Lepisosteus oculatus: one gene and its partners. The protein of the gene in region 1 purifies or fractionates together with the protein of each later gene. This does not show direct contact. Links are inferred from orthologs where the notes say so. Each region holds a gene or a part of one and is shown in the gene's direction. Other genes may lie near its edges.

Region 1 (7,788 bases):
CTGATTAAACCCACAGCAATGATTTAAAGTTTTCATATGGAAATTTCATTTTCTTTCCTGACTACCTACCTATGTACAACGTATGTATTTTGAAATGTAGGTGTTTTTTCAGAATTATGAAACGAGCAATAGCACTACACTAACCTTCTTCAAAGTAAAATAACAAACAAATACATACTGTATAGTATTCAGGAATACCACAAACAAACAAGCAGTAATCTTTCCAACCTGAGCTCAAGACAAATGGGGTCAGATAAGAACAAAGTATAGGTTACAAATGTGAGGGGAACATTTTGCTCATCTGAACCATTTAGCAGTTTTTAGCTAATTGATCCAATGGTCTCGCCAAGCCATTTCAGGAAAGGAGCCAGGGAGTCAGGCTTGTAGTCCCTCTGTTCAAAAGATTCAGTTCCTTCAGCCTGTCAGTGTAGAATATTCCCTTGAGATCCGGTCTGACATCTGGTTACTCTTCTCTGGACTGATCTCAGAGCAGCAATATCTTTTTATAACTTTGTGACTGAAATTGTACACAATATACTAAATGAGGTGCATTGTGCTATTTTAATACAACTAATCTCTTAGTTTAAATTCCCCATTTTAAACTCTATATTTAGCATTTTGTTTGACATTATCTGGAATAAATGAAGTAAATGAAAGTGTCAAAATAAACATTTAAGTCTTTTTCATAAGTAGCTCCTTCTAACTCATTTTCCATTTTATATTAATAGAGTTTTCTGTGGTCTGATACTTGCTTGTAATACTGTTGTTTGCAGCTTGAACATGAATGAAATACTCATTTTTTATATCAGCCATTTCCATTTTATTATCTTGAAGTTTACCATTATGACCCAAACACATTTGACTTTATCCTTCATGGTTCTTTTACTGTTGCAGTACTGAAAGAACAGTTTACTAATAATTGTAGCCTCTACTGAGATATTCTTTTATATCTCTTGGCCTTTTTAATATCTCCATTTACCTGTCATCAATACCGGCAACAGAAAGGTTCTTGGCTTCTATCAAAGAGAAGAATGTGTTAAATACAAGTCTGATCACAATGTGGAATGTTTACCTTTCTAGAACATCCATCAGTGCTTTTTCAGTGAGACACTTGTTTTCATTCCTGCACTTGGTGCTTTTCCAAACCACGAGGTTTAAAAACTACATCCAAGTCCAAGTCCCAGAAAAAACTTCTTGCTTGCAAACAGATCCTTATTGGAAGATGAAACAGACAATAACACATGCAAATAGTTTTAGTTTAGGAATAGAAAACTTCAGATAAAGAGAAAATAGTAACACAAATAGTAATAAATATAAAATTAAATGTAAAAGGGCTACATGATGGCCCAGTGGTTAGCATTACTGCCTCGCAGTTAAATTCTATTTTCAGTTCCTGTCCTGGGGTTCTATCTACGTGACGTTTGTATGTTCTCCCCATGTTCATGTTGGTTTCCTCTGGGATTTCCAGTTTCCACCCACTTTGGTTTCTGGCAAAATTGGCCTTGTGCCTGTGAGCCTGACCTGGGAGAAAAGTTTAGAAAATTGGATGGATGGAAAATTAAACATATGAAAATTAAACACCTGGTACTTTCCTTTGAACATTTCCTTTATAATTAACTGAATTCCCTATTGCTAGTACTACTTCGGTGTTGGTTTATAAAATTCCTGCATCCCTCCATTAGAAAGCCTCTCATCCTGGTGAGAGCTGTGGCAACCTGGAACCTATCCCACAAGCAGAGGGGGCAAGGCAAGACTGGCAGCACATGACTGCTGGCACACTGGATGGCATGCCAATCTATCACAGGCCCCTGGCAAAAGGAACAGTTTAGGTTAGACAATCAAACTGAAACAGTATATTTTAGGGAGACCAAAGGAAAACCCACATATACCCAGGGAGAAGATGCAAACTCCACACATAATGTACATCACTCTGGATCCTGTGACCCCAGAACTGTAAGGAAGCAGTGGTATCACAGTGGTGCCCCTGTGAAACCCAGTATTAATGAAGAAACACACTTTGATTATAACCTTGTGCTTGTCGTTTATTTGATTACATTAATAGAATCAAAGTGGTTCCAAGATATAAAAGGAAGTAAAGATCTGCAGTAAGGTTTCCATTTTACAGTAGTCTGAAATGAAAAACGTGTCTGTTGTTCAAGTTCACAAGAATTTAAGAAGATACACCCCCATCATCAAGACCAAACTTGATTCTACTTTTTTTTATTCCCAGAATACAAAACCTGCCTCTGCCTGAATCATCGTGTCTAAAATCTTTGGGATCAGTGGCACATCTGCTGAACACAGAACACTGGTATGTCTCTTTTTCCCTTATGTGCATTTGTATTACTTCAATCTCTGGTCTTGGGCAATTGCAACTATGAAGGATCTTTTGTGGAATGTGAAAGTGAAGTGAGATGTCTAATTTACAGACAAGTCCAAGCAAAAAATGGCCGTATTTACCATTTCCTTTGAATTGTTTTTGATACTTGTTTTCTGGCTAGGAACTGTAATGTGAAAGGACTCCTTCACCAGCTCTCTGATGGATATTTCCTAATTCTGCCTTTTCAGTACTTTTCTGCTGGGCTTACATCACACATTGTGAGTGAGTCACTCTTGCCTTTTTGTCTAGAGCATATATCAAACTATGCCTCTTTGTCCACACATACAGTATCTCGAGCCATACTGTATATACTGTACATGATTCCACTCTTGTCTGATCCATGAACAAAACTCCATATCTCCATAGATCATTCACTATCCAAAATGGTGTGAAATGGTTGCTCTAGCTGTTTCTTTAACACATCAACTTCTTACTACACTTTAGAATCTTACTTTTGAAAGAAAGCCCCAAAATAAAAAAGAATCAGCAGGTATATTATGTTTTTTAATTTGTTGTAATTTAGTGCCCAACATAGAAGCAAGTACTGCCTTCTTCAACTTTATCAACTTTATCCCAGATTATTTTTACACAAATAATCTAAAAGTAAATTGTACACAGAACAAAATAAGAATTATTTTAGTATAGACTGTTTTTTTTATTTTGGCTATATCCATCTAATTTTATTTATTTATTTGTTAATGGGATTCACTCACTTCATCATGATCCAACTCGATTCCGTTGTTTTTGATTCTCTATAATAATCAAAATCTGCCTCTGTCTGAATCATCATGCCCTGTGTCTTTGGGTTAAGAGCCACGTTGGCTGATCACAGAACTATCTCCCTTTGCTGCATACAGCATTTCCTAACATTTAAAAACCCATTATAACACCATGGCATTATAACGTGTGTAGAAACCCCAACAACTCTGAGCTTCTGCATTTGTTCTGTAAGTTTAGGAACTGTACATTAAACATAACAGAAAACAAAGATTTTAAAACCTTGACACTTGATACACCTGATACACCCTGACTGTATGTAAGTCAGACATACAATGCATGAGTATTTTTAAGGTATTAAAAGTGAAAGATGAAGACAAATGGCATGGTTGTTGCTGCTGCTCAGTTTGTCCTGGTTCTGGGGTTTTGTTCTGGACAGGAGTGTTGGTTTGTTTGTGGCTTGTTTGCCCAGTGTCAGCATAGCCTTTTTTCGGGTGCTATATTTTTCTCCTGTCCACCAATAAAATGTTAGGTAGTTTACTGGGGTTTCTAAATTGTCCTTGAGTGTGTGTTTGTGTCTGTGATGGACAGATGTGGTGTCCAGTGTGTAATCTTGTCTTGCACCCCCTGTGTCCAGGAAATATTTCAGGGCTGTTTTGATTGTGGACAAAGTCTCCCATTATCTATTTTTTTATTCCTGTCTGTGTCTGAGCATAGTAGACACCAATCCAACATACTCAGGACATTTTCAAAACCATAGAAATAACTTTCCTGAAGCACGCAGAAGCATAAAATAGCAATGTTATTGAATGTTTTGAAAACTTGCTTTATGCTGTCAATACATTCTAAAAGCTCAGGCTAAAAGCAGAACACAATTTTATGATCAGAATACTATATTTCTAGGGTTGTTAATGATTATTTTGACTAAAACCAGACATTTTTCAGTATGCCTAAACTCAAACACAGTACCACCAGCAGATGTCGGTAAAAATCAATAATCTATAAACTAGATTTCTTCATTTTTGTTTCTTAGACACAGCAGCCAGCAATTGGACTGTGATATGTACCACTTACACTTTGGTTTAAGATGGGGAATGAAGTAATTCAATTAACAAGCCTCTTTGTAATCGGATTAAAATACGAGTTTCTGTTCCAATTACGTTTATCAACATCTCTTAATCTCTTTACAGTTACTGTACAAAAATAGACTAGAAAAAAACAAGAACTCGTGCACTGGATGTCTTCAGGTTATTCAGTGCAACATGCAGAGCAAGACGTCAGTAATAAAAGAAAAGCCAATATTTAGATATTTGAGATTTATGTAAAACCCAACCCAACTTTTCAATTGGTTATAGGTTTATTGGTTTTGCGAATATCATAGTGTCGTAACAAATTATGCTAAAAAACAACACTCAACAAGTTTTTTTTTACCTAATTAGGATCCGGAGCAAAACTCAGAACGTAATACTGTATATGAGTTAAACATACAATGCACCAATATTAATAAAGTTTTGAAAGCAGGAAGAATTGGAATTAAAGACGTGCAGGCCATTCCGAAATTATCATTTAAACTGCGCAGCCGACGCAATACTGGCAATTTCCCACCCAAGGGGAGTCTAGTATTTCGCGTACATCAATACGTTTTGTCGCCTTTGAGCCACCGTAGCTCTGCAACCAATCTACAGCCGGTACAGGTCAAAGCCACACAAAAAAACCTGAGGAAAGGAATGTTTTCAAGCTGGTCTGGAAAGTAGCAGTTTCTTTTAAGAGAACAGAAAATAGAATTTCACAGATGTCCGGAGGGACTCGGTTAGAAAATGCGAACCCTCTGATCTTCCAGCGATCAGGGGAGAGGCTGCTGACGGCGGAGGAAGAGGATGAAGAAGTTGCTGATCCTATTGACGACAGAGAAATTTTCGATATCCTTGTTAATTTTATTAATGCATTCGTGCGCTTCATTTCAGCTTGTGACAGAGCATTCCATTGTGCCGTCGTTTCAGAGTTGCCGTGTTTTCTCCTTGATTTCTTTCTAACATCTCATCAGGTCGATTAATGACCCCGAACATCCGCTGTCCCTGGAAGAGTTAAACGTTGTGGAGCTAGTGAGAGTCAATGTGGGTTCCTCTGCTCTTTTACATTTGCTTGTGCTCCTATCCGCCAGACAAAACAATCTGCTACATTAGTACGGACTGTGCATTGCACGATTTTTTAAATCGTTATAATGTAAGCCAGCTGGTAAGAGTATCAAGTACAGTTACTCGCAAGAGCATTCATTTCTCACTGTAACAAAGAAAGATGGAAGACGAATGCCTTCGAAACTTAATCTACTGTTAATGAAGAGGTTGTGTAGTGGATGGATGTAAAAGGGCTACTTCCTTTACCCCACAGGTGAACGACAATGAGAGCACAGTGTCTGTGGAGTTCACTCCTACCATTCCTCACTGCAGCATGGCGACTTTGATTGGCCTGTCCATCAAAGTCAAGCTACTTAGATCGCTGCCCGACAGGTTCAAGGTGAGTCATGTAAAAGGCCCGTTTGAGTTAATATACTATTCATCCAACACTCACATGTACGTCTTATGTCGACTGCCTCATCTTGCAGGATGGTCTTCTACCGCTTTCTTTAGGTGAAGTTTTAATATGTGTGTTTCTATCAGCGTTTTCAAGTCCTGAATGAAGAGCTCGCCACCGATTTTCTTATTAATGATTTAATTACTAGAGGTGGTTGGGCGTTAGCTGTATAGGAAGTGCTACTGTTCACCTGATTGTGTAAATGTATTTTTCTCTATTAAGATCGATGTGCACATCACACCTGGTACCCATACCTCTGAACAAGCAGGTAAGAGCTTTGTATGATTCTTTCTAATATATTTTTATTTCGTTTAAATATTTAGGTTTTTTAAATGATCCAAAACCTGATGGTTCTGTCCCCAGCTCGGTCAAGCTGGGTATTTCACTGAAGCAATCTGATGGAAGTACTGTGCTCAAGGGCACAATGAAGATGTCCAACCCAGCATTTGAAACCATAACCTTACAGTTACAAGATCAGAGTGCTAACCACTACTGTACACTGCACAGTGCCATTCAGCTAGGCAGCTGTGGTTTCAAATACATTTGCAAATAGCTGACAGATTTTCCTCCTCCTGTTCATTGTGATGTGATATTGTAATTATTACTGTTCATTCAGCTCAGTCCAAAACATCTGTGTCTTCCACCAGTTCAAAACTGTCAGAAGAACATAAGTGGATACCTCTGTCAAGTTTTATTTCGTTGTGTGTTTAATCTTAATCTTATTCGCTTTATATTTTCTCTCAACAGTTAACAAACAGCTTGCAGATAAAGAAAGAGTAGCTGCAGCTCTGGAGAACTCTCATCTGCTGGAAGTGGTGAATCAGTGCCTGTCTGCTAGAGTTTAACCAGAACAGATCTTCAGAACCACAGGACAAGTTCAGCTGCTAATTTCCTACTTCTTTGTAAAATTTGTTACACCTGAATTATTTAATTAAATGTTGGATAATTGCTCTTGTATTTTTGTTGCACGGGAATGAAATGATTCATGTTTGCATTGCTGTGCAACTCCTAGAGTCAACATCAAGAATGATGTTTTTGTAAGTTAATCTTTTCTTGCAAGTTTGCCACAGGTCCTCTTCATTAAATATATTTTATATTAAATATGTTTTAACAGAAATTACTTTACCCTTTTATATAAGGATGGATGGCGGCTATATCAGTGCTTTTATTTGAAATGTAATAATGTTGCATAAAGAATAATGAAATATTAGTTGTTTAATAAATTGCTTATTCTGTAATGTTGTTTCTTTTTTATATTTCCTTCAAACTATTGAAACTGGAAAAAAAAGTCTTCTTTGAAAGCAACCAGGCATATTTTAGGATTGTGTTTGATGTTAGACAGTGGGCTGGGAGGTGAAGTGTTCCAGTGGAGATAGTCTCTCAGAGCCAGTCCACACAACATTCAGTTTACTTCATGCTCCTGCATTAGAGCTCGGCAGCTCCTTTTCCAGTGCTGAGGAAAGAAAACTGCAGTAACAACCAGACCAGAATGAAATTTGTACATTTTTGTAAAATACTTAGAAAAACCAATAATGTCCTTTTAAAAAAAATCATAAATTATTCGTTTGTTTGAAAATATTAGTCTGCTTAAGCTGATAAGAAGGCTATGTAATCATGACATTTTTTTTAACATTACATGTATATAAAACTAAACTAATCCTCGTGTTCCAGAGAGTCCTATGATTTTTATTCCACCTTTGATCTTAATCTTTAATTTAATTACGTTTTTGATTGCCTACTTTTCTAACGACAGTAGCTGCCAGTTCACAACTCCCAGCACTGTGGAATCTGCAGGACTCCCGCCCACAAGGTCTGGAGGTGACCTTCCAATGGATTCATTCATTATTTCCCCCAACCTTTCAGAACCAAATGATTTATTTATGGTATAATTAGAAATGGTTATAATTACAGAAAATGAAAGCTTACTGATCAAAGGCACCAATGATTACAATTTGTATCTTCAGATAACTATAATAACTTATATTCTCCAAGTAGCACTTTTTAAAGTATTCCAGTTTAGTGATAAAATATCTAAACTTTTAAATGCATGCTAACTTTTATTCATAAGAAAATGTTGAAATGTATTTTTCAGGTTCCAGATGTGATATAAAGGTTTCCTT
Region 2 (7,943 bases), on another chromosome or scaffold:
GCCCCTGGACGCCAGGCGGGGGCTCAGCCTCGACTCGGACGCGGGCCTGAGCAACGAGGACCTGCAGAGCGAGCGCAGCGAGTCCCCCGGGGTCCCCAACTCCGAGTCCCTGCTGGGGCTGGACCTGGACTTGGGGCCGTCCATCCTGGAGGACGTGCTGAGGATCATGGACCAGTACAAGGCGCAGGACGGGGACTACGAGCTGTGACACCTCACCCTGGCTGCCGATTCCTTTGTCATGGACTTGATGATGAGCTACCTGCGTTACCAATAGTGTAGAAAAAACCTGAAATGCCACCGTAACCCCAGAGGTTTGAGAGGAGCAGGACACAACTAGTGACACAGATTTGATATAACTGAGGGGGGCTTCGAGGCAGATGAGGACACAATTTAAATATGCTGCCATATTCTTGTGCTCGCCAATACACGTCTGCTCCGCAGCTCTGAGAAAACCTCATGGTGGCTTTTTAACGGAACCCAGCCCCACTGTGACGCTCGGATATACTCCTCAATGTTACAAAAACAACTCCTGTGGTGTCAGCCAGCCCTGTGCGTCCGCACTCGCAAAAGCACAAGTGACACCGCGCTGCTGCTCCGTTCTGTGCTGGTGGTGCACCGCGCACACCTGATCACACCACACCACCTTCCGAGCTCCCTGCTTCTCGGCTTCAGCCAGTGAGAGGACGTGGGGCAGGCAGCACATTGAGCCCTGAGAAAGACTCTGCCCTGCTTCAGGTGCTGCCCCTGCTCACGAAATGCAACCTTACTTGTTTCTCCACAGCCAGGGGCTTGAGCGATGAAGGACAGAGAGACACAGAGACTGCGCCTGTGTGGATGAAATTACTGAAAAGACGGAAGGTGGTGGAATCAGGTGATCTTAAACACTTGTCATCTGCTAGGAATCTAAAAGAGATCCTTAAGGCGTGAGCAAGAAGTTCTCAAATGATATTTTCCTTTTCTACAAAACTAACAAAGACGTGAAATGAAAACTGAGCAATGCTACTGAGCTGTATCTAGACCGAAACTTGGAATTATTTTGTGAGTTTATTTTCATGCACATTGGTTTATTCGAATTTCCACCTTCCTTTTCTTTCAGCCTGAAAATGGCAGCAGTCTTTTTACATGAAATACAACCGATTTACTGATGTGAGAATCACGTGTACAAAAAACACCATCTCGTGGGCCTGTGTTTAAAATGTGTGTTAGTCTGTTACTCCTTGACCAGGAAACTGTGACTCCAGAGGCATGGAAAGATGACTCGCACTGCACAGCAGTTTTAATCCATTTCGGGGTGTAAAATCAAATATTGGACACATCCGTTTCAAAGTGTCAATTTATCTGTTGAGTTTCAGACAGATTAAGGTCACAATGAAACATTCTGAGTTTCTCTGTTGTTGGATTGAGTACTACAGCTTTTGCTTTGTAAAACTGGGATGTGGCTCATACTGCGATGCATTGGGAGTCTTTATTCCACCTCTGAAATATATCAAAATGTTCAATCACCTGACCATAACTGGACGATGAATCAACACAGGAAGATGGTGATTATTCTACGCACTCAGAAATCTTGCATGGACATATATACTGAAATCACTATTCAAAATAATTTATAAGGACATTTAGTGCATTTATCTCTTTAGAGGATAAGATGGGAAGTACTGTTTACAAATTCTAAAAGCTGGCATAAATATATATATTTATTTTATTGGAAGACTTTCGATAGTTTTAACAAACCGTTCACCGGTCCAGTTCAACAGTTCAACTGTGGTTGCCGAGCAGTACTACACTTGGCTCGTACGGCCATCTAGTGGAAGGAGAGGGTAGTACACCTGGTAATTGGTCGGTACCAGAAGCGGCCTGGAGAAGCGCAGCTCTCTTGCTTTTCTGAAGGTCACGAAATCGACACATTTAAAACCTGAAACGACCGAATAATCCTAAAAGCTATGCCTTAAAGCGAAGCCGGTTCATTTTCTTCATTTTTTTCTTGGCAGGACTGTGTGTTGAGACTGAGTTTTGCTACTGGGATGTGGTGACAGATGGAAAGAAATGATTTCTGTTGTAATTCTGCATTTTTTTAAATCTCCGTTAATGTTCACAATCTGTTTTGATTTCTGAATGTTTTAAGACGTGTTTCAGGCCCTGCTTGAGTTTAATACATTTTCCATCACTATTCTGGGGATTCTAATAATTGCACAGATCTAAGCACTGGGGGAGAGGTTTGATGTGCTCAGCTCAGTGGGTAATAGCATGATGAAGATGCTGATGATGACGAAGATGAGGTGTGTAAGAGTTCAGCCGGAATGCAGACCAGACGACTGCTTGGAGGAATGTGACTGGATACTGTTGCCTTTCAATGGATTGCTGGGAACTAAAATGAAACTGTCGTCTGGGAAGTAGGTATCTGCTGTGCTGTGGACTGTGCAAGGTAGATGAAGGAGAGGAGAAAGTCCAAATAAATGCGTGGAAAAAAGAAAGAGACAATCAAGGAAAAATGTTTTTTTGAAACGATGATTTTCTGTTCTGGATGGAACATTATTTCGCAGTTTGTGTTACGTTCTGATTGACATGAAGAGGAACACCATGCAAGTGACTGTTGCAGTTATTTATTCTGAAATCTTCAGCTCAAGGCAAGCGGGGCGTCTAAAGTCAGTAACATGTCGCAGCGAACATTTCTCTAGTTTCAGAAGTTGCCCTTCCTCAGCGTGGTGTGACATCTGTCTCTGTAGTACAAAATGACAACCTTTTTTAAAACAAAAAATGTTTCTATATGTATTTAGCCTCGGTATTGAGGTCAATAAATATGAATGTTAAAGCAGACGTCACTCCAAATTTGTATGTTTTTCTTGCTGTTTTTTTTTTTTGGCTTCCACATCTCTTTACCTATGTTCCCTCTTCATCTTTTGAATCAGTGAGATGATCAGATACTGGCTGTGACACAAACCACGTCTCACATTATGAGAAGATACCGCAGCTCTGGTTCAGAAGCACCAACTGTGCAAACACTAGTGAACCATGTGATATCAACAGGAGAAGACTCCTAAGCACCTATGCACCTAACGCCACACCAAGCACAAAAGAGAGCACACACAAACACATCAGGATCTGGTGCAGCTTGGCCTTGTGCATAACCCAGGGTGCAGTACATGCACTTGCCCCCTGTTTTGTCTCCTTATTCAAGCCAGGCCCTCTCGCTATTCCTGGCTCAGCACTGGGAGATGGACACCCAGAAGCCCGCCGTCCAGCGGGTCCAGGAGAGATCGCGGTGTCCTGCCCGTCTGAGTCCGGGGCTGGGAGCGCCTGGCCTCCTTACCTTCTGTACAGCTCCTCCAGCCCTGTTATTGAGCAGATCCACCTCGAGGGTCAAGGCCTGCTCCTACACTCCTCTGGTGCCTGAAATGTGGTTCAGGCTGCCCCTCCCTCCACTCTGCCGTCTCTGTGAAGAACTGGCCCTTTAAACTAAAACAATAGACAGGGTTGATTGCTTTAGGAATGAAACAGACTTCAACTAAAAAAAAATGAACCAAAGAGACGTTTTAGTGTGGCTTGACAGTGACTGGTTTAATAATCTTTTCATATCACTCTGCAACTCACAGCTGGCAGCCCACTGAAGCTCAGCAGGTGTGAGCCTGGTCAGTACCTGGATGGGAGACTCCTGGGAAAAACTAAGGTTGCTGCTGGAAGAGGTGTTAGTGGGGCCAGCAGGGGGCGCTCACCCTGTGGTCTGTGTGGGTCCTAATGTCCCAGTACAGTGACGGGGACACTATACTGTAAAAAGGCGCTGTCCTTCGGATGAGACGTAAAACCGAGGTCCTGACTCTGTGGTCATTAAAAACCCCAGGGCATTACTCGAAAAGAATAGGGGTGTTACCCCGGTGTCCTGGCCAAATTTCCCTCTGGACTTTACCACTCATGGCCTCCTAATAATCCCCATCTCTGAACTGGCTTCATCACTCTCTTCTCCTCCCACTGAGAGCTGGTGTGTGGGGAGAGGACTGGTGCACTATGGCTGCTGTCACATCATCCAGGTGGGGCTGCACACTGGTGGGGGTGGAGGGGATCCCCATTACCTGTAAAGCACTTTGTGTGGAGTGTCCAGAAAAGCACTATTTAAGTGTAAGCAATTATTTTATTTTTTTTCTAAAGAAGAGCTGCAAGCCGTGTTTCAGAAACATGTTGGTGTTAGTAAGCTTTGCAGGGTGTTCCCATACGTTCTCCAAATAAAAAAATGCAGTAATCATTTACACAAAAGTCATATTCCTAATTAAAACCTATAGGCGGATAATTCATAAAGTTTGATTATAAATCTACAAACATCAATAAATTTGTTATTATGATTTTCTAACAAGGTCTATGTTCCTTGTTTTTGTTTTACTTCAAAGTTGATTTGCTCAGTAACTGGATTTTTATAGACGGCTGGAAATTTTTCAGTCCGTGCCAACAGGGAAAGCTAGACTTCTCTGGCCTCGACTATTCAGGTCTAATATTAGCAACAAGACACAACTTTTTATATTGGTATTGATTAGTCAGGTCTAGATTTCGGGGCGCACTAACCAGGGGGCGGGGAAGAAGTGTGATTGACATCGAGATCACCCATTTAGCAACTCCTATTGCGTCTCCTCCAAAGACTAAGTGACCAATCGTGGGCGCGCTAGGAGGGATTACGTCCATCGAGGGGGATAGGTTGGGCAGTGACAGTGGAATCACACGTGAATAAACAGAAAAGCAAGAGCGGAGTTATCAACGTGCTTTTAATTTCTTTAGTATTATCTTTTGTTTATCTCTAGTATTACGATAGGCTTGTCGAGCCTACAACAGCAAGAAGAAAATCGCCCGTCGCCGGACGCAAGCCGTAACAATGAAGTGTGTACTTCTGGAGTCTCTCGCCGCAGCTGAAGGGTCGGGTAACTTGAGAGTCGGGGCGCTAAGTTTTCATCTTCTTGTTTTTGCAGGCTGAATATTGATGGCTTGCTGGTCTACTTCCCCTATGACTATATCTACCCGGAGCAGTACTCCTACATGCTGGAGCTGAAGAGAACCCTCGACGCCAAGGTAAGCTCTCCTTCTGTACCTGCAGCGCGGATGCAAGCGTCGCACCCCGGTCTTTCTCGTCTCTCCGCTGTCTGGTCGCGTCCGGCTGCTTCAGCTTTTGCGTGTTGGGTTGGAGGAGGCGGTGAGGGTGTTGGGAGATCGGCGCTCTGTAATCCCCGCGTCCATCAATCTGGCTCACTCGAACGGTATTTAAAAGTTATTTTCATAAACCGAAACGGACCCGATGGAGTCACAGTCTTTAAAGAAAAAGCAGCAACCGGAATACCTCGCGTCTGTACGTGGAATACACGGCTTCTGTGGGCTTTAGTTAGGATCCGCTGCTCTCTGGCGTGTGAATGTCGAGACTGCCCTTGCAGTGCAGCTGGGATCGGTTTGCTTTGGCGGCCAGGACGGGGGACAGCTGTGTTCATGTTCGTGTTTGACCTCGTGTCTCTGTAGGGCCACGGGGTGCTGGAGATGCCCTCGGGCACCGGCAAGACCATCTCCCTGCTGTCGCTGATCGTCGCCTACCAGCAGGTGAGTGTCTCCCCTCTCCTGGGAGGGCTGTCCTGCTGGGGCCCGATCCCTGGCGGATTGGCTCTTGTGTGCCGCTTGTGTTAACTTTGCTGGTTTGTGGTCGACACGCCTGTGTGTGTGATCCCTCTTCCTGCTCCTCAGACCTATCCCCTGGAGGTCTCCAAGCTGATCTACTGCTCCCGCACTGTGCCTGAGATCGAGAAGGTGAGTCGGAGTGGATTCAGATTTTTTGGAAACGGCCGCCGGGTTTTAAGCTGCGCTTTTCCTCACCCTGTGCCCGGCTCTCCCCCCGTGTCTCAGGTGGTCGAGGAGCTGAGGAAGCTGATGGAGTTCTACGCCAAGGAGACGGGCAGACAGAGCAACTTCCTGGCCTTGGCCCTGTCTTCCCGCAAAAACCTCTGTGTGCACCCTGAGGTCAGGACGCCTGGCCCCTGGCCCCTGCCCCCTGCCGCCTGCCCCCCCTGCCCCCTGCCCGTCCCGCTCCCCTGACTCTCCTCCTCCCTGTCCCGCCCAGGTGAGCTCGCTGCGATTCGGGAAGGAGGTGGATGGGAAGTGCCACAGCCTGACGGCCTCGTACATCCGCGCCCAGCGCCACGGCAACCCCTCCCTGCCTTCCTGCCGCTTCTACGAGGTGAGCGGGCTGGGGGGGGTGCTCAGGCTCAGGTGGGGAGAAGTAGAGAACAGTACTGAGCTGGGGGGGGGGTTATTTTCAACGGGTTTGTTAACAGGAGGAAGTCGAAGATCTCCTGCTCTCACGGGGACGCGGGGCAGAACTACGCGTCTGGGCTACGGCAGCTGGCCTGTCCTGTTCACCCTGCAGGAGTCCAGGGAAGGCGTTTGACGCAGGTGGTGGTTTGTTTTAATGCCTGAAGGCCGCACGCGCCTTGTGGTGGCGACAAATGCCCAAGGAGAGCGAAGCAGCCTCCACAGTTTCTCCACAGTTGGCCACAGAGCCGATTTGTGCAGCAGTTGACAATATCGCAGCAAAGGAACAAGTAAGAGGTTTATTCCATGCTGAAAAAAAGAAGAAGAGAAGAAAGAAAACACAACATTTCGGCCGTGGAGCCTTCTTCAAGTGTGAGCAGCTGACCATGAAGGAAGAGGAAAAGAAAAACTCCAAGTTCTCGGCGTCCATGGCCCAGTGATCGTCCCCGTTCAAGATCTGGGTTTGTGGGACATCAATCATTTAATGTTCCACAAGCCCAGGTTTCCACACACTTAGTGATACACAGAGTTCAGCCATGAGAAAGACAATAACTACTCGCAGCTGCCAGCATTTTGTTATATAGTGCTTTTTTTTTGCATGTAGCGTCTGGATCTGGGCTCTCAGGTGAATAGGAGTGAAAATGATGTAAAATGAGTGCCCAAGCTAAACCTGAAAGTTCAGTACTTATTGCTGCCATGGACTGCTAAAGAATTGCTCAGCCAAATTCTGTGTGGAGATGGTGGTGTACTCTTTAGTTTGATGTTTCATGTCTCAAGGAGAAGACTGAAGGAGGACATTGCACTTGGATGGTGGAGGGCAGGATCCCAGCCTCACAGGGCTGGCTTGGCACTCTCTGGAAGTTCATCCCTGCTGGTGCACGGGGAGATCCGGATCGAAATACGGACAGATATCTGTCCCACTGGGATAGGGATATAGACAGTGTTGGAGGATTCTCCATGCTTGCATTCACCCACTGACCCTAGGAAGCAAAGAGTGCTAGCTGCCAAAGTTCTGAATACCGCTGCATATTGCTGTCGGACAATAACTGTGATTCTGGTAGGGTCAATTCCGGACCTGGAGTGCTATCTGCATGGATTTTGTATGTTCTCCCTGTGTGCGTTTGGGTTTCCTTCAGGCACTCCAGCTTCCTCCCACAGTCCAAAGACATGCTGGATTCATTGGATTCTAGGAACTCTGGCTTTCACCCTTCACCCCCTATTTCCATAAAGTAATGTCCCTGTTCCCAGATCACCCCCATGCTGCTCTCCTGTCCCTGCACTCTGACGGTCCAGGAAGTGACTGAGACTGAAAAGGGGACAGTCGGGTTGAATTAGAACGCAAGAGGGGACTAACTTCCTGCCTCCCTTCTGTGCGTCCTCAGGAGTTTGATGCCCTTGGCCGACAGGTGCCCATTCCCGCGGGCATCTATAACCTGGATGACCTGAAGGCCTTCGGGCGCAGGAAGGGCTGGTGCCCCTACTACCTGGCCCGATACTCGGTGAGTGCCCTCTGCAGGGCTCTCGATTCCTGGCGCGTGCCGGCTCTCTGGTGATAATGACGTTGCTTTCCTTGAACTCCAAATGCAGGTTCAATTGAAATTGAAGTTCAAACCATTTTAAATACTTGTTTTTCCCCTATTTCCTTGTCCGTGTCCTCTCCTTTTTTTCCCCTT
Region 3 (8,057 bases), on another chromosome or scaffold:
AGAGCACTGGATGTCTTAATTTGCCTGTATAAAGGGATTTCATATTGCATTTACTAAGGGGATGTTGTAAACGAATTGTGCACCCTTTGTGCTGTTTTGAATTTTTGTTTCTAAAAATACCCAGTCAATTTTGGAAAATTTGAGTAGAGAATCAGGAATACTTTTTCTGGAGTTTCAAGAAGCCATGCATCAACTGAGTGTTTTAATAAAATGGATTGTTATAAGGTTTATTTTAGGAAAGAAAATGCCTTAAAGGTATAAATACTATACTATTTTATTAGTATAGCATTGATATTGTAATCCTTGTGTGACATTGTTCCTTTTTGCAGGGTAGATTTTAAAGATTTTATTTTCTTTTAAAGCCATTCTGGGAGGATTTAAAACTGTAGTATAACTTAATTTATGCACAATTGTGCATTTATGTAGACTACCTCTGAACCTTTGTTTTGTAGTGAATTGTATTTTTATTACAATTTGAGTATTCACCTTAGCATAGCATTTAGGTCCATAAGTCTGTATTTAGGGTGTTGTGACAGCAGATTAAAAATGCTTCAGCCTGCTTTCTGCTCTTTTTAAAGGGACATCATAAACAGTTATTGTTTTAAGTTATGTTGCATGTCGCAGAAAACATTGCTTTTAACCACTAAAACTGTTTTTTTCTTTTTGATTTTTCAAGATTGCAAAACTGAGTTAATTTTGCATTATATTAGAAAATAAAATTGTTGGGTGTAGTCTTTTGCATAAACTAAATTTAAACATTAAAACTACCAAAAAATGAATTTCCAAAGTGGAAGCATTTACATTTAACTTGCTGAAAGAAAATGATCTTAATTGTCTACATTTTGAAAATGCCACCTTTCCACCTAGTCTGGTGGTTTTCTTTTCCTTGGCTAAGAATTTTGTCAAAGTTTCATTATGAAGAGTACGGTATTTTGCAAAAGTGCGAAAACGTGAGATGCGGGTTGGAATTTGATAGTGTTCCTATCTGTTCCAAATGTGCTGATCTATACAAATCCCAGAGGAGAGGGCTGTTTTTGCAATATAGAGTAAATCCTGTTTAACACTATTGGGGTCTTTAACTGCATGGCAAGAACAAACAAATCTGATAATGTATCATCTTTCAGGTTTAGAACAGCTTTGGGCAAGAGCCCCCTAGTGGTGCCAAATAAGAGCTTTTTTAATTTTCTAGAATTTCAGATTCATCATCCAATGACGTTGTTAGGTCACACTATGTGCAGTGGCATTACTTTAATCGCACATTTGTGCCTTTGCCAAAAGCAGAGCTTTATATTTTTGTTCCTTACATTCTTATAATTATATCTGAATTAACTCACTGTGAGAACGTAGAGCTGCTCCTCTGTGGCAGGGGCACGTGAATGCACAGCACAGATGACCTATCTGACATGTTATTAAAAATGTACTTATGTATTGTGTGTAAGAGGTGTGACGATATTGACCTTGTAATATCCCAAGTTCTATGACCCGGGCTAGCTGCTTTCTGTTCATATTTCCATGCACGTTGTAATCATTGTATGTGGGTTTAAACATGAAATCGGTTACTAAAATCCTTTTATTCTATTCAATTTTGAAACAAAACCCAGATGTATGCAGATCTATATATGATGTTTTGATGTCATCTTTGGAGTTGAATGTACACATTTGCTAACCCTTAAGCCTTTCATTCTCAAGTGTCATTCTCCAGTTCTTAAACCTTAAGTGATCATTTCCACGGATAATTAACTGGTAACTGAAGTATAAACCTACACAGGAAACCCTGTGCTATAATTGAGAAGAGGATGATAACCCATGGTTCATTTGCTGTTTTGGAGATTGTTCAGCATAAATTCATATTTATATATTTATACATGGCTTCCATGGTTTGTAAATGTGATAATCTTTTCTGGTTTTTGGTTTCAGCTGATATGTATGAGCAAAGATTATATGTGGGGAAGGTGATAAACGCATCACCCTTGAATGCAATGGTTTGTATGTTTCACCCTATTGATATTTGGTACACTTCTACTCCATTTCAGTTCAAAGGGCTGCAAGAGTTTTTGGTACCACTGGTTGTGCCCTAGCTGACTGTCTGCAATTGAGGTTTTAGTATAAAACTTAAGCAGGTACGCATTTCTGGAAGTGTTCTGAATAGTGAAGCTACTGTTGATATTCTTGCATGCTAAACTGTGTAACAGTTTTCTTTTATATAATTTAAAAATATGTGCCTCTTTACAATTAAGTTTGCAATAAATGTACTGTACATTGTTTTACTGAATGGTTCCCCACAATTTAAAATACTGCCAGAATGAGTGACTGGGCAAGCCTGGAAGTTTTTTTTTTTTCTAGGTAAGTGGAATTGTACATAAGATGAGGAATTATTTAAAGCTTTTAAAACGAAGTTTTTTTGTATGTGTGCATGAAAGTACTTGTGTGCTCAATGAATGAGGTTGGATTTTTTTTCAGAGAAGTGTGAAAATATGTAAAAATGTAAAATGTTTTAAAGGAATCTAGCTTTGTATTTTATGTTCATTGAAAAGCTTTGATATTGCTTCTGTAAACAAATTTCTTTTGAATAGTTCATTTTCTTCTTTCCAGTTGATGCCATTGTGATTTTTTTTGTATGTGAAGATTTGAAATTCACCAAAACTTGAAAAAGAGCAATAAAAGATCTAAAACTTTTAAATAGTTGTCCTTCAATTAAAACCATGTTAATGAATTGCACATTAAAATATTCATTAATTTACAGCACTGTCAGTAATGTTAATCATCATGGAAAAGGCTTTTAATTATCAATATGGAACCACAAGAAAACTTGCCCATCTAAAAAAAAATGAACTGACCTGGCAAAAGTTTCATTTGTTTTTAGTTGTCACTCTCAGTATTAAATGCGCACTGTGTTCACGGTAAGGAATAAACCAGGTGAGGGTTAGAAATGTAATAATAATGTTTCTTTATTAGCCCTATACAATTTCTTGCATTAGGAATTTGTCTTTTCACATACCCCAGGTTTTCTCCATGGAGACACAGACACACAGACAGGGAGAGAAGCTTGGGGTCAGAGCGCAGGGTCTGCCATTGTACGGCACCCCTGGAGCAGTTGGGGTTAAGGGCCTTGCTCAGGGGCCCAACGGAGTAGGATTCCTCTGCCGGCCACGGTATTTGAACTGGTAACCTTCCAGTCACAGGCGCAGATCCTTAGCCACAGAGCCAATAGAACTTCATCCAGTTTGTGGCTGAATTTAAAATGGCTTAAAGACAGAATGAGACTCAGGCATTGCTTGGAAATGTAGAGATCTGGATGTTAGCTTTTGCCCGTGGTTTTCAAAAGTCCAGACTTCACGTCTTTCATTTTAATGTATCTCAATGTTCCTGACCTACAATACCATGCATGGTACTTTATCTTGCTGCTTTATAGCTGTCGACATGACGCTTCGAAGTAGAAATTAACTTGGTTTAATCACAACATACTCCACACAAAAGGAAACAAAATGTAATTCTTGTTAAAGAAAATGGAAAAGTTACGATTATACAAGTATTCAAACCCATTACTGTGGCTTAACTTAATCAATTTAGGTGCCCAAAATTCCATGCTGAAATTAATGTTTTACTCTTCCGTTCTGCTTCTTAGCAAGAATTCGACCCTGTGCTTACTTAGAGCATACTCGCGATCGCATTTTCCTTTTTTTATACAGTAATCTGTTTTAAATCCATAAAGTGCATGAATACACTCAGTTTTGTGAGGGTGGATTACAATCAAGTTTGTGATATATCTTGCATTCGCTGTTTCAAAGTAGTTTTACATGACTAAAATACTTTTTCACATTTGATTTGTTCTGTGCACGGTTAGCGACAGGACAGTAAGAAATCTCTCTTCTCAGCTTCAAAAAGAGGATCAGGTGTCATTAGTGTTGGAGCTCCAATTACCACCTCAGTGCCTTATTTCTCGTGCTAGTTGATGAAGATGGAATTGTACCAAAGATTTTTTTTTTTCGAAGTGGAATTCAATGTTTTAGGGGTCCAAATAAAGATATAGACTGACATTACGTCAGTAATTATGAAAGTGTAGGAAGCGTGTATATTATCACCCGGGACAATTAATTTACTGTGAAATTGAACGAAGGGTACAACATGACAAATGACGTTGTCTCAGTCTCCTTATTTGAAAATGGTCCTGTAATCTGTCCAGTTCTTGTTTCTTCATGCATGTAAATTTAACAAATTCACATTTTGAGCCTCCTCAAAAATTGTACAAAATATGTATAGGTTAAAACTATAGCTGTCTCTCAATCTGATTTGATCTAAATTGAAATGTCTCGTTATGTATTTAAAATATCTGCTGTGCTGTACTGCACGTCCGTTTTCGTTACTATTTTTAACATAAATGAGACTGCGTTGATAGTCCCTGGACCGCTCATTTTGGTAGCAAATATCCATGGATGTAATGTAAAGATGATACCTAAAATGATTACAAGTATGTAACATTTTAAAAGTAAATATAATACAAAAACTACTACCATGACTACGCTGCATGTAATTCATGATCATTTATCTGAAACAAAAACTTCATACTGGACTTTTTACCAAATCTTTATGACATTAATATTTTAATTTGATTACATCAATATGATTATTCTTTAATGCCATATTTTATGCAAGCGTGTGGTATTTTAAAGATATATGATACGTCGATAAATAGATTATTCGTGTCAATATAACATTAATGAAAGTAATTCGAAATTTTGATTTTCGGTTTTGGATGTTTGTCTTCTCTCAGGTTCCGTAGATAAGGGTCAAAGGGGAAATCCATCATGGCGGAGTCCTTTTGAAAACAAGTGCGAATAAGATGAGTGAAAATTAACAAAGTGTGACAATTTCTGAAGATAAAGCACTGGTTTGCGTCGGAATTGTTGAAAAAACTTATATTTTCCTAGATTTGGAAACGATCATATTTACGGTAAGCATTATATTTTATAGATAAATAATAACACGTGTGTACTGGTTTGATTTTGCAGCAAACTCTTTGAGTATTTTCAAATGTTGGAAATCACAGTGTTTTTCACAAATTGTACTTTTTGTCTTTTCAAAGAGGGGATTCGACAGTTTTAACTTTTTTATGTTGTTTAGTTTATTCTTTCTCTTTATTTTTTTGGCCAGAACACGTGTATCACAATTACAGACAACTACTGGCAGTCTTTCATCCTAATAATTTATGTGTAATCCCGTAAACGAGGTTGTCTTCATCATATAATCTTTATTTAGCGATTTAAAGTTAGTCATATAATAGAGTCGCACAGTTTTCAAAATGTTTTATTGCATTTACAAAATGCACTATAATGTTTTTTATTGGCTTTAAGTAATGTTGTCTCACCATTCGTGGTTGAATTTAGAAATGTATAAAATTAAAAGTTAAATATTTTGCATTGATTAAACAGCACTAGTGCTTCTTGAATGCATCAGTAACATAATATTTAAATAAGCTATTAATGGAAATATGTTGCAAGGGAAAACTGTAAAGGTTAGTTAATGGTAGGCTTTACTTCTTGACATTCAAATGGCAACTGTCAAGATATGAAAAGACATTAAGTTTGAGTTTTAGATCTCTAGTTCTAATTGCTGACTTTAATTGCTCTTGATTCTTTAGATTTTTGGTAAAATAGTTTCAACAGCATCTACAACATACAGAGCTTCAAGACAGCCTTTCCCTAACTTAGTTGATCTTATTTCTGGCTAAACAGTTCTTAATATTTGATCCATGAACACACACAGGTGGAAATTATAATGTATCAAACCCCACAGTGAGTGTTTTTCTTTCCATATACCAAAGTCCAGTTGGTTACATTTCAGGCAACAGTCCTGAATGAAGTCGTTAAAGGATTGAAAACCTGCAGAGGCATCAGCCCTCCAGATGCAGGTTTAGACATCTTTGCTTTAGAGGCAATGTTGCATCTTTGACTTGATTCCCTGGAATATATTCAAGAATGTTTTTTTCTCTGCTTCATTTCTTATCTAGAATGGGATTTATATAACCTGGTGTTAAATTATAAGCCAGTACTGTTGTTGCGGTCGATAGCAAATGATAGTAGATCAGGTGGGTAGCTGCGTCACCATGCGTAGGCTGCAAAGGAACAAGTAATAATAATAATAATAATAATAATAATAATTGCTTACACTTATATAGCGCTTTACTGGACACTCCACTCAAAGCGCTTTACAGGTAATGGGAACTCCCCTCCACCACCACCAATGTGCAGCATCCACCTGGATGATGCGACGGCAGCCATAGTGCGCCAGAGTGCTCACCACACATCAGCTATCAGTGGGGAGGAGAGCAGAGTAATGAAGCCAATTCATAGATGGGGATTATTAGGAGGCCATGATTGGTAAGGGCCAATGGGGAATTTGGCCAGGACGCCGGGGGTTACACTCTTTTCGAGAAACGCCCTGGGATTTTTAATGACCAAAAAAAACTGTATATGTAAGATATGTTTGAAACTTTTGACAGTGACAAATATGTCACAAAGCTAGTTCTGGATGGTTTTGACCTTTTTCTGACAAACGGAATTTGATTGCATTGAGTGCACAAAAGTGACAATCGGTGACAATGAAAATTTACCATTGTGTGATCCAATTGATACTTAGTGATTTTTACAGATCCGTTCTTATTTTAGAACTTTGCCCAGTATGTTGAAAAAATCCGTATTCATGCCTTCAAGAAGCCTAACAAGCGTGAACCTCTAACCTTACTCTTTACAGACCTCCATTTTGTGCCAAATATTTGACCTTCCACTAAAGTATGAAAGCCATGATCAGTGACATGCATTGCAAGCTCTCTTGCAAAATATGATAGGCCCCGCTAAAAGTAATGTAGTAAATAAGACTGCTATTGAACTGTTTTTCTTTTTATGTCAAAGATCTTACATTGGATAGCATAACTGAGAGATTGACAGAGCAGTCAATCAAAGTGTTTTTTAGTTTAGTTCTTCAGCATTAATTACTTTTAATGAGTATGCCACTCATAGCATGCATGAGGTTTGTGGCTGACTCATAGTATAGGCTTATAGCAGAAGAACAGAAGTCACTTTCTCTAGCTCCTATAAACCCCCTTCCAGGATAATTAGGAATAATTAGATACTGAACTCCATATTAGTCTTCCTAAAGAGATCTGCTAAATTTTCTTTCAAGACAATGCCGGCTGCTTGTGATTCACTGGTGGATGACATTGAAGATATGGTATCGGCACACGATCCCAAGCCTCACGATCGACAGTTTGCGAGGAAGAACATTGTGCCAAGATCCAGAAAGAGAAATCAGCAGCAAAATACCGAAGATCTACTTGTTGACAGGTAAGGTTGATGAAAAAGGAATTTGTTTTCTGAATGAATGAAACCTATCAGAGAGGGTAAGAAGACAGCTCTATGCATGTACTACATCTGTAACTGTACCAAGTTTGTATCATGTCAACATGCTAAAAAAACTCTTAAAATATGAAAATATGCCAGGGTTATTAATATGGATTCTAAAACACTTAAATTCATTTTTGTATAGTTTTACAAAATTGTGATTATTGCTGCTAGAGGTAGAGGCTTGCTGGGTCTGCAAAAAAGTAAGTCCTTCTGATGCCAATAAACAAAAACAAACTTGTCAGAAAGGTGGAGAAAAAAAAACTAAATCACAGTTTAGAAAGAATCTTCCATTATTGTTAAATAAGCCACGTATGTGAAGGATACAAAAAGAGACAAACTTAAGAATTGCATTATAGGAATAAAAATAATGTGTTAGGCAATTGTGAATCAACAGTTTTTTTTTTTAAATGACAACTTAAATCAATTGGGAAGCCACAGAAACAGGCAGAGACTTAAAGCTGTTGGTATTGTTTTCATTGAAGTATCCAAACTGAGTCTACTTTTCAAAATACCTGATTACAGAGTTCATTATCCACCATCCACTATGTTATACTAATAATGAATAATCTGACTGAAATACTATAATTACTCGTCACGCCACTGTCTTTTACTTGCATTTGTCTTATAAAATATTTGGTGACTTGACACAGTTCTTAC
Region 4 (8,284 bases), on another chromosome or scaffold:
CATCAGGAAGTCGCACAGAGGGCCTGGAGGAACCACTGGTCACACACGGATCCCCTGACATCCCTGTCTCGACAGGAAAGGGATATTCTGCTTTTTGCATCGAGTGTCACACTTAGAAAACATCCAAGGCTCTGCACCCGCACCGTTGCAGTTCTCGTCTGTAAAAAGTGCTCACAAGAAACACGGCAATCCTTCAGGCTCAAAGCTGCGGATGTGTCGTGACTAACCGTGTGTTAGACTGGACCCGGATTAGAGGCGATGTAAGAACACCTCACATCCACACCAGCTAAGGGACCGGGCGTGCTTGCAAGGCATTTTTCCCCATCATTATGACTGACAAACACTTCGCTGCGTAGGTCGTGGCCTCCGAAGAGTCGACTCAAACTCCCCACTCGACGAATTTCTCTTGCGAGCAGCCTCTTTTCTAAAGCCTCGTCCCTCCGCTACACTACACTAGACGCTGGCCTCTTTTCGGCGTGGACTGCAGCCGCTCAACTTCCAACACTAAACAAAACATTCTCTCGCAGGAAGCGAAACTGATCACACGTCCCGGGCGGGGGGTGTCTTACCTCCACGCTTCCTCGCCCCGCTCCGGCCTGACCCCTGCGAGCTCCCCCGCTCTCTTCCCACGCAGCCTCCCATGACTGGTCAGTTACTCCGGACCCCCCATAAAGAGCTCCACGCCGTGGGGGAAGAAGCGTTCACGCCGACCCCTCCGGGAAGGGACGCGGCCCCTGGGTTCCCCGTGCGCGTCCGCGGGAGCACCGCGCCGCTCGAGACTCAGGCGCCGTTGTTGTCGTTTGAGCTCACGAGCATTCCGAGGCGCGAGCCGTAGCGGGGGGGCTCGGCAGGGACCCCCCCGGAGCAGGACCGGCCAAACCTTCAGCCCTCGCGAGGTCACCGGCCCCGCCGCTGCAGGAAAGAAGCACTTCGGGGGTTATTTTTAAGGAGAGGGAACGCGGCTCCCCCTCTCCCGTCTCCAGTTATTTCTGGCTCAAGAGTCCGGCGGTAACTTCACTGGCACTTCTGCGGTCCCGGCTCAGCCTGCTAAGCAAACTCGTCTCTGCTCTTGTGGCACAAAAACAACTCCACAGATATGTTGTTGTTGTTTTCTTTTTTTAAAAAAAATTCTCTCTAGACAGTTTCCCTGCCCTCCCTAATCCCCAACCTCTCCCAGGTCGCCTCGGATTGCTCCAGGTTTAAATCCCTTTCTCCTTCCTGGTGGCAGACGGCGCTAGTGCGCCTGCGCGGCCCTGCGCGGAGCTCTGGGTAGAAACCGGCCGGTGTTGGATTTCGTCTCGTGACTGGCACCGCTGTGGTGTCAGGTAACAGGAAAGGGCTGCGGGTGTTTGTGTGCGAAATATAAATAAACAGTAGCTCGGCAAGTCCTTGTCATCTGGCGTAACAAAAATAAATCCCTGTAATCGGATCAAAAAGTGGGTGTCTGATTGTGTCGTTATTGATAAGTATCGATCACCTTTTTCTAGCAGATTACATCAAATCACATGCATGAGAACAGAAATCTCATTCTCAAACAATGTTAAAAAAATATCTTATTCCCGAAAAAAACACTGTTGCCCTAGGGGTTGTTTCTCATAGCTCTCTCAGTTAACCGGATAACACGATGACAAAAATCCGGATTTTCGGTTTCACGAAGCAAGATTGAACGGTCTAAAGTTAAATAACTATAGCAACATATCCTTCATTCTTAACCTGCTGTGAGGCAGGTTAAATCAGATTTAGCCTGACTTTGTGGTTAAGAGCTTGGCTCAGCTCAGCCCCCTATGAGAAACGACATCACTTTTCTTCAGAGATCCAGTACACAGAGCTTTGCATCAAGATTAGAGATCGCAAAATCCCTTTACTGCCCGCTGATAATTTTTATCTGAAAGATACAGTTTGAATAGATAGGATATACTTTACAATCAATATCTCTTAACCACATACATTGTTAATACTGCTGGACGTAGCTGAGCGTTACAAGAAACAAACTCTCGTAGTTGAGATTATTGTGACTGGTGCATTTTTTTTTACTGTGTGGGTGATTCGGAACTCTTCAGTAAAGCGATGTGTCGTGCACCAAGGAGGCTGTCCAGGCTGATTTTTTAAAATCAGAAAATCAATTCATAGCATCAATGTACAGTTAAAAAATAAAATTCTAGCCTAAAAATATGAATATTACAAAAAACAATAAATATTATCGATCGTGTCCGATAAAAGAGGTTAAACGTGTGTGCACACAATGGGTGTTGCTATACTTAGGTGTATATTATGCACAATTTCCATCATCACATCGTTTCCTATGTTATCAGAATCCATGATGTATGGTGTCACACTGGCAACATGTACATGATTCTGTCTGAGGGTATCCTCAGCGTGCAGCACAGTATTACCACCCTTAGGAAGAGAGAGTTCTTCCCCTCCACCAGTGCTCTCTGATGACTGTCCTCCTATTCATCGCTCAACAGGGTGACAGCTCTGAAAGGCACATCATAGCCGAACATAACTCTAGTGAAACAGTGAATGCTCGGTCTGATTTTTAACATATACCTTTTTTTTCTAATTTCACTGTGGTTATTTTATTTTTCGGTTATAATTAGGTCACATTTTTACCTGGCGTAAGGCTTTCTGCAATCTGGAGGGGAATGCCTCACCTATACTACTCGATCCACACTAAAAAATGTTGGAAATGTTGAATGAAGGAACACATTCTTTATGGTGTTGACGCCGATTCCTCTTCTTCAAGTGTTACTCTGCTCAAGCGTCTTCTTGTCGGATAAAATTGGAAGACGTTGTAAGAGCATTCCGCCACACCGTAGTGTACAGGACCCCAGTGCCACTGTGGATGATGTTCCTGGGTTTTGTCTTGGCCTGCTGCCAGGTCCTCCCTTTGTGCTCCAGCATTGTGCTGTGTAAATGCACAAATTAGTTCTGCACAAGAACAAAATTGTGCGATTACACCATGGCTTAAAGTGGATCTCCACTTCAGCACCATAATAATGAAAGTTAAGTAATGCCAATGCATGCATACTCACACAATTTTTATAGTTTGTTTTATCTCTTGAGCTAGTTGATTGGATTTCATAATTAACTTCCAGATTCAGTTTTGCAAGGCGACTTCTCTGGCTTTTGCAGCAGCTACAGTGTATTTCCTTGCTTTTGCAACAGATTTTATCCTCCTAGTTTTCCATAAAGAGGCATAATTCCTGGTCACTGGATTAAGATGCGCATTCTTTCGCCGTAGTTTTTGCTGGTATAAATGAAGGATTTGACGCTCATCCCTCCTGTATTGCACCTCTTAGTAATTTTCCTCCTGGAATGATGTTTCCTCAAACAATTTGGAACGTCTCTGGAAGTAGAGACAGCAGAGGCCTGGCAAGGGGCTTAAATTGAAGTTAACTGGAAAAATGAAGTCAGAGTTTACCTCGGTGAACCTTGAGTAATGCTGAAGTCGGTTATCGGGTTAATTCATCAAGGACAACTTGAGAGAACCCTGAATAAGTTCCAGCTGGGTCAAGTATCCCCCCTGGGTGGGTCAGTATGGTCCCAGTGAGCGTGTCTGTCCAGTATCAAACCGAACCCCCTAGTTAAGGCACAGGTCCCATGTGCTGTGCGTTGTTCTGTACTGACTGAGACTCTGTCCTCTGGAAGTTGAGCTGGTTAAGATTGATTACGTGATACAAATAGTAACACAATCGGAAGCTGCATTGATTTTCATTCTGCATTAACCTATTTGATCATTGCCTATCACTGGGTCTGTACGGGTAGATTACCACTAAGCAGCTGCTGTTCCTTATTGGCAGTAATTGATGTATTTTGCCAGGAGATAAGATCTGCTTCATACTTTCCCCTTTATTGCTGACAACATTCCTGGAACGATTTCAGGACAGTTCCTGATTTCTTTATTAACTGGGAAAATACTGTGGTCCGTATTTTCTCTGAAACTTCACCTATGATAGGAGAAATAAAAACAAAGAGTGCTTTAACTAAAGAGTATGCAGAGTGTGATAAATATAAAAAAAAACTCTTGGGTTCATTATTTCACATCAGGGCATAAACCCTGTAAGAAGTCTAATACTATAGTGACTGGTATTATTGCAGTAATTGCTCGTGATGTATCAGAACATGAGATTTCTTGCCATTTTGTTAAGGGAATCTTGACTGTAAATACTGACAAGATTCCAGATTACAGAACACAGAAGAAATATTGTTATATTGTATTTTATAGACACAGATACCAATTCCTAGTATTCCCTACCTATCCTTTCACCTGTACCCTTTTTCCTCTTTTACATCTCTGGTTTCCTTTTTTCTTCTCCTTCCTCACTGTTTTTATATTATTGTTGGATTTTTACAGTTTGGTTAAGTCTGTCATGCCGTAATGATTGTTCACATTTGTTCATTATTGTTTATGGTACCATGTAATATTTTTTGTTCTTCCCGAAAAACCAATAAACAAATTGAACATAGAAATCCCAGACCTACAAAACTCAGAAGATCTTCCAATCGTACTGTAAGTAGACCCAAGGGATTCTGCAGCCAGTACGTGAGCTCTAACCACAGTTTGAGGAGCGTAGACTACTTCAAATATATGTTGCTTTAAATTGTGTAAATATTTGCTTTGGTAATAATTTAATTAATTGGTCATGCCAATACAGAATTTGAATTCGTCAGTAAGTTGGGTCACACAGCATCCGCGATGCTTGTTTCTCTGGAATTGTGACATGAGGCTTCCTCAAACATTTCCTGATCATATCTGCTCAACATCTGAAGCAAACTTTCAGAGCTGCTACATTCTAATTGCTTCAAAAGCAGGAGTGCCCACTTCGCTGAGGACAGGGCAAAACTGCTCAAGAGCAACCCTGCACAGTGCCTTGGTCTTTGTCACGTGACAGTGGTGTTTCTACCCTGCCTTTCCTCGGCGACAGCTGCAGCGCATGCGCGCGAAGAGGAGTTTGACTTGTGGGTTGTGCATGATGGCCGCGAATGGAGCTGTGTTGCTGGGTTTGGTAGAGGAATTCGTATCGGGCCAGCAGGACAGCAAGGCTGCTGAGACTGCAACAGGTAACTGATGTAATCGATCTCGGTCTCGGCTCTTAGTGAGCTGTACGTTGAGCCTGCAGGCTGCAGCGACTATGGATGGGAGAGTCCGATGCCCAGAAAAGCGTGTGGCTGATATTCTGGGTATCTTTTTAAAGGAAACGTGATGTGTATGAACCTTGGTATAAGTGCACATCGAAGAGAAAGATCAGCCCTAATTGACATGGTCCTGTATTTATTGCACAACATGAAAGTCTCCAATACGCAGGCAGTACACAGTAGAAGACAGTTTGAGTAAAAACACACCCTACCGACACAAGCATGGACCGTTCTAGAATTTGCTTGCCATGGGAAAACATTTTCTCACGTTTTTACTGGGACTGACTTTAAAACAGCGGTGCATCGCCCGGCTCTTGGGAGACTTCAGACGTCCTCTCTTTCCGGTTGTGTCGAGACAAGCGGCTCATCACGAGCAACCTGTTGGCACATGTAGCGGGTGCAGGAGCCCATCCTGGCGTAGAACTGGCGCTCTGAAGGTGTATGTAATTAATTTAAACTAAGGATACTAAGAGTAGGTATCCGCAGTGGCTCAGTAAAGGAGCCCTTATTCGGGAACTTAATTCGAACAGCCTATAGGACGGTTCCTGTTAGATGTATTCAGACCCGTTGAAATCCAAGTGTCTTCCACAGACATGCCCCTGTGAAGAACTGCCCGCCCAGGTGCCTTGGATCAGGGACAGCGGTCGAGTACTGTGCGCTCCTCGATATTGTCAAGCTGCATAGCTCTCTCCACTCCTGGCTCAGAAATTCGTCTCGCTCTAACGCTGGAGCAAAGTCTTTATAAACACGAGCCATACCTTGGAGATCTGATGCCTACATGTTTTAAGACCTGTGAACGTCATTGTCCACATCAACTATCCACACTTGTATGCATTCTGAGGGTGCTGTGCAAGGGGATCTATCCTTCTGTTGCTCTGGACAACCTGATGTGCTCCGTTCTGACCTTACAGTGTTAACCTCTTTTATTTTTGTTTCCTAAGGAGTGAAAACCGGACTGTTTACCATATTGGAACTGGTGGAGGCCTTGGGGTAAAGTAATCTCTTACCTAATCCGTTCCATCTTCATACGCTATTTACAGTGTTAGCATAATTACGGTGTAAACACAATGTCCGTTTCCAGCCATTCTAATTAGTCCTGTCTGTCAATCCTGTAGGATCAACTGTTTTGTTTTTTTAGGGATTTATTTTTCAAAACATGCCCTGCACTGAATAACCTTATAATTGTTATTTTTCGTTAGACTGTCAAAAGAGTTAGGTGGCAAAGAAAAAAACAGGCTAGAAGAAGGCTGTAGAGAGGCTGATTCTTCCGGAGGCGGGTAGAAGCTGTGTAGAGTGGAGTGTCACTGGAGTTGCTGGTTTGAATCCACACCGAGCGGCACAGAGGCTCTGTGTCCGAAAGCGCCCTGCAGAGAATTGCTGTGAGCGGCTCGCCGGGGACGCAGGCTGCGTGACCGTCTCCTCCTTCCGCCAGGAGCGAGCTGACCTGTCTGTGTGCTCTTCGCAGCTGGAGCCTGACGAGCTGCGAGCCCCGGGTTCGGGCGCGGGGGGTGCAGCTGCTCTCGTGGGTGCTGCAGGAGTGCTGCGGCAGCCTCTCGGAGAAGGAGGGTGAGTTGGCGCTGGTCAGCGCGCCGGGGCGGGGGGGGCGCCACGCCCGCGCTGGCGCTGCGGAGCAGACAGAGGTGTGTGTCTGTGTGTGTGTCTGTGTGTGTGTCTGTGTGTGTGTCTGTGTGTGTGTCTGTCTGTGTGTCTGTCTGTGTGTCTGTCTGTGTGTCTGTCTGTGTGTCTGTGTGTCTGTGTGTCTGTGTGTCTGTGTGTCTGTGTGTCTGTGTGTCTGTCTGTCTGTGTGTCTGTCTGTCTGTCTGTCTGTCTGTCTGTCTGTCTGTCTGTCTGTCTGTCTGTCTGTCTGTCTGTCTGTCTGTCTGTCTGTGTGTGTGTGTGTGTGTGTTGAGTTTTGGTCGGATCAAGCCAGCAACACCGTCAGAATACCGTGAAGAAAAGAGAGGGCGGTGGGTTTCACGTTCACGCTGTTCCTTCTGTGAGTGGATCCAGCGCTCTTTACGTAGAAAACACTGCGCTAATAGAAGTAGAATCTGTCTGATCTGAAGAAAGACCTAGAATGGAATATTATACAACATCAGCAGTGTTGGATTAGAGCTTTCTCAGTAGGAACATGGTTCTCTGATGTCTGATCAATACTGTACATTAAATCAGTGTAACACTTATGTACCCTGGCTAGTGTCCTTATTGATCTCTGGCTTGTATTTGCATTTTGCTTGGTTTCTACCACTGTCCTTGTATTTTGCAGCTGAAGTCCTGACAGTCTTTTACGAAAACAGACTGAAAGATCATTATGTCATAACGCCGCACGTGTTACAAGGCATTAAAGCGCTGGTAGGTGTGCAGTGTGGACGGGGCATATTCTACCTTTGCTAAGCTTTTCCTTCTGGTTTCGCGTCCGGCTCTCTCACCCGCTCACTCTCACTCCGGACTCTCCGTGTTTTTAAAAGACTCAGAGCCCTGCACTGCCCCCTGGTCTGGCTGTGTCCATCCTGAAGTCTCTCTTCCAGGACATCCATGTACAGGTAGCTGCTTCACACAGACAGTGCTGTTGGTCAGTGTCTGCCTTGTGCTGTATATACTGTAAATAGACAGCAGGTAAATGTTTACAGTTTGTTTAGGTCATCTTGCAGTCTAGTTTATTAATGGGAATAGTAACTTTCATAGATGTAGCTGTATAATATGTGTAGGAGGGTAATTTTTATAAACGCCAATGACTCGATGGAAGAAAGTTCAGATTTAGTATTTTGAAGGCTTGTCTTCTGTTAAAAAGAAAAAAATATATACCAGTCATGTTCTGATCGATATCAGGCTTCGGCAAGAGCTTCAGTATACAAGCAGCTTGAGCAGTTTCACCCTGGTTGTCTCTGTGGTGTTTGTGTCAGGGCTGCTAGTGCTTATCGGAGGTGAGACCTGGGCTCAGTCTGTGTCTGTGTCCCCAGTCCCTGATGCAGGCGGAGCGCTCCTGTGTCTACAGCATCCTGTTGAACCTGATGGAGTCGCGAGAGGAAGGTGAAGGTCCATCGGGGGGGAGGCAGAGGATGAGCAGCGGCGAGGGTGTTGATCAGATGTTGATTCGCCTGCTTGTCGTCTTTTTCGTGCTGTGTGACGTCAGCGTTTTCCGACC

Evidence for each region.
Region 2: the proteins of ciao2b (region 1) and ercc2 purify together in Homo sapiens (affinity purification with western blotting; 3 studies listed by BioGRID and IntAct, with this or other methods). This does not show direct contact. The link is inferred for Lepisosteus oculatus from reciprocal best matches to the Homo sapiens genes CIAO2B and ERCC2.
Region 3: the proteins of ciao2b (region 1) and cdkal1 purify together in Homo sapiens (affinity purification with mass spectrometry; 3 studies listed by BioGRID and IntAct, with this or other methods). This does not show direct contact. The link is inferred for Lepisosteus oculatus from reciprocal best matches to the Homo sapiens genes CIAO2B and CDKAL1.
Region 4: the proteins of ciao2b (region 1) and mms19 purify together in Homo sapiens (affinity purification with western blotting; 11 studies listed by BioGRID and IntAct, counting the BioPlex papers as one, with this or other methods). This does not show direct contact. The link is inferred for Lepisosteus oculatus from reciprocal best matches to the Homo sapiens genes CIAO2B and MMS19.

Annotation. Positions count from the first base shown.
Region 1 is NC_090715.1:9,175,414-9,183,201, reverse strand, and holds ciao2b (cytosolic iron-sulfur assembly component 2B), read left to right. Parts: upstream 1-4,758; 5' UTR 4,759-4,889; coding exon 4,890-5,018; intron 5,019-5,133; coding exon 5,134-5,211; intron 5,212-5,485; coding exon 5,486-5,611; intron 5,612-5,890; coding exon 5,891-5,936; intron 5,937-6,415; coding exon 6,416-6,513; 3' UTR 6,514-6,906; downstream 6,907-7,788.
Region 2 is NC_090698.1:5,271,053-5,278,995, reverse strand, and holds the start of ercc2 (general transcription and DNA repair factor IIH helicase subunit XPD), read left to right. Parts: upstream 1-4,652; 5' UTR 4,653-4,855; coding exon 4,856-4,860; intron 4,861-4,949; coding exon 4,950-5,049; intron 5,050-5,487; coding exon 5,488-5,565; intron 5,566-5,706; coding exon 5,707-5,769; intron 5,770-5,865; coding exon 5,866-5,979; intron 5,980-6,079; coding exon 6,080-6,196; intron 6,197-7,652; coding exon 7,653-7,769; intron 7,770-7,943. Other genes in the region: cdc42 effector protein 2, read left to right, coding at 1-208. UniProt on the Homo sapiens protein: ATP-dependent 5'-3' DNA helicase. Component of the general transcription and DNA repair factor IIH (TFIIH) core complex, not absolutely essential for minimal transcription in vitro.
Region 3 is NC_090705.1:12,658,426-12,666,482, forward strand, and holds the start of cdkal1 (threonylcarbamoyladenosine tRNA methylthiotransferase), read left to right. Parts: upstream 1-4,785; 5' UTR 4,786-4,951; intron 4,952-7,179; 5' UTR 7,180-7,182; coding exon 7,183-7,340; intron 7,341-8,057. UniProt on the Homo sapiens protein: Catalyzes the methylthiolation of N6-threonylcarbamoyladenosine (t(6)A), leading to the formation of 2-methylthio-N6-threonylcarbamoyladenosine (ms(2)t(6)A) at position 37 in tRNAs that read codons beginning with adenine.
Region 4 is NC_090699.1:16,768,826-16,777,109, reverse strand, and holds the start of mms19 (MMS19 nucleotide excision repair protein homolog), read left to right. Parts: upstream 1-4,946; 5' UTR 4,947-4,973; coding exon 4,974-5,064; intron 5,065-6,080; coding exon 6,081-6,129; intron 6,130-6,604; coding exon 6,605-6,705; intron 6,706-7,405; coding exon 7,406-7,491; intron 7,492-7,607; coding exon 7,608-7,682; intron 7,683-8,099; coding exon 8,100-8,214; intron 8,215-8,284. Other genes in the region: ubtd1b (ubiquitin domain-containing protein 1), read right to left, coding at 570-642. UniProt on the Homo sapiens protein: Key component of the cytosolic iron-sulfur protein assembly (CIA) complex, a multiprotein complex that mediates the incorporation of iron-sulfur cluster into apoproteins specifically involved in DNA metabolism and genomic integrity.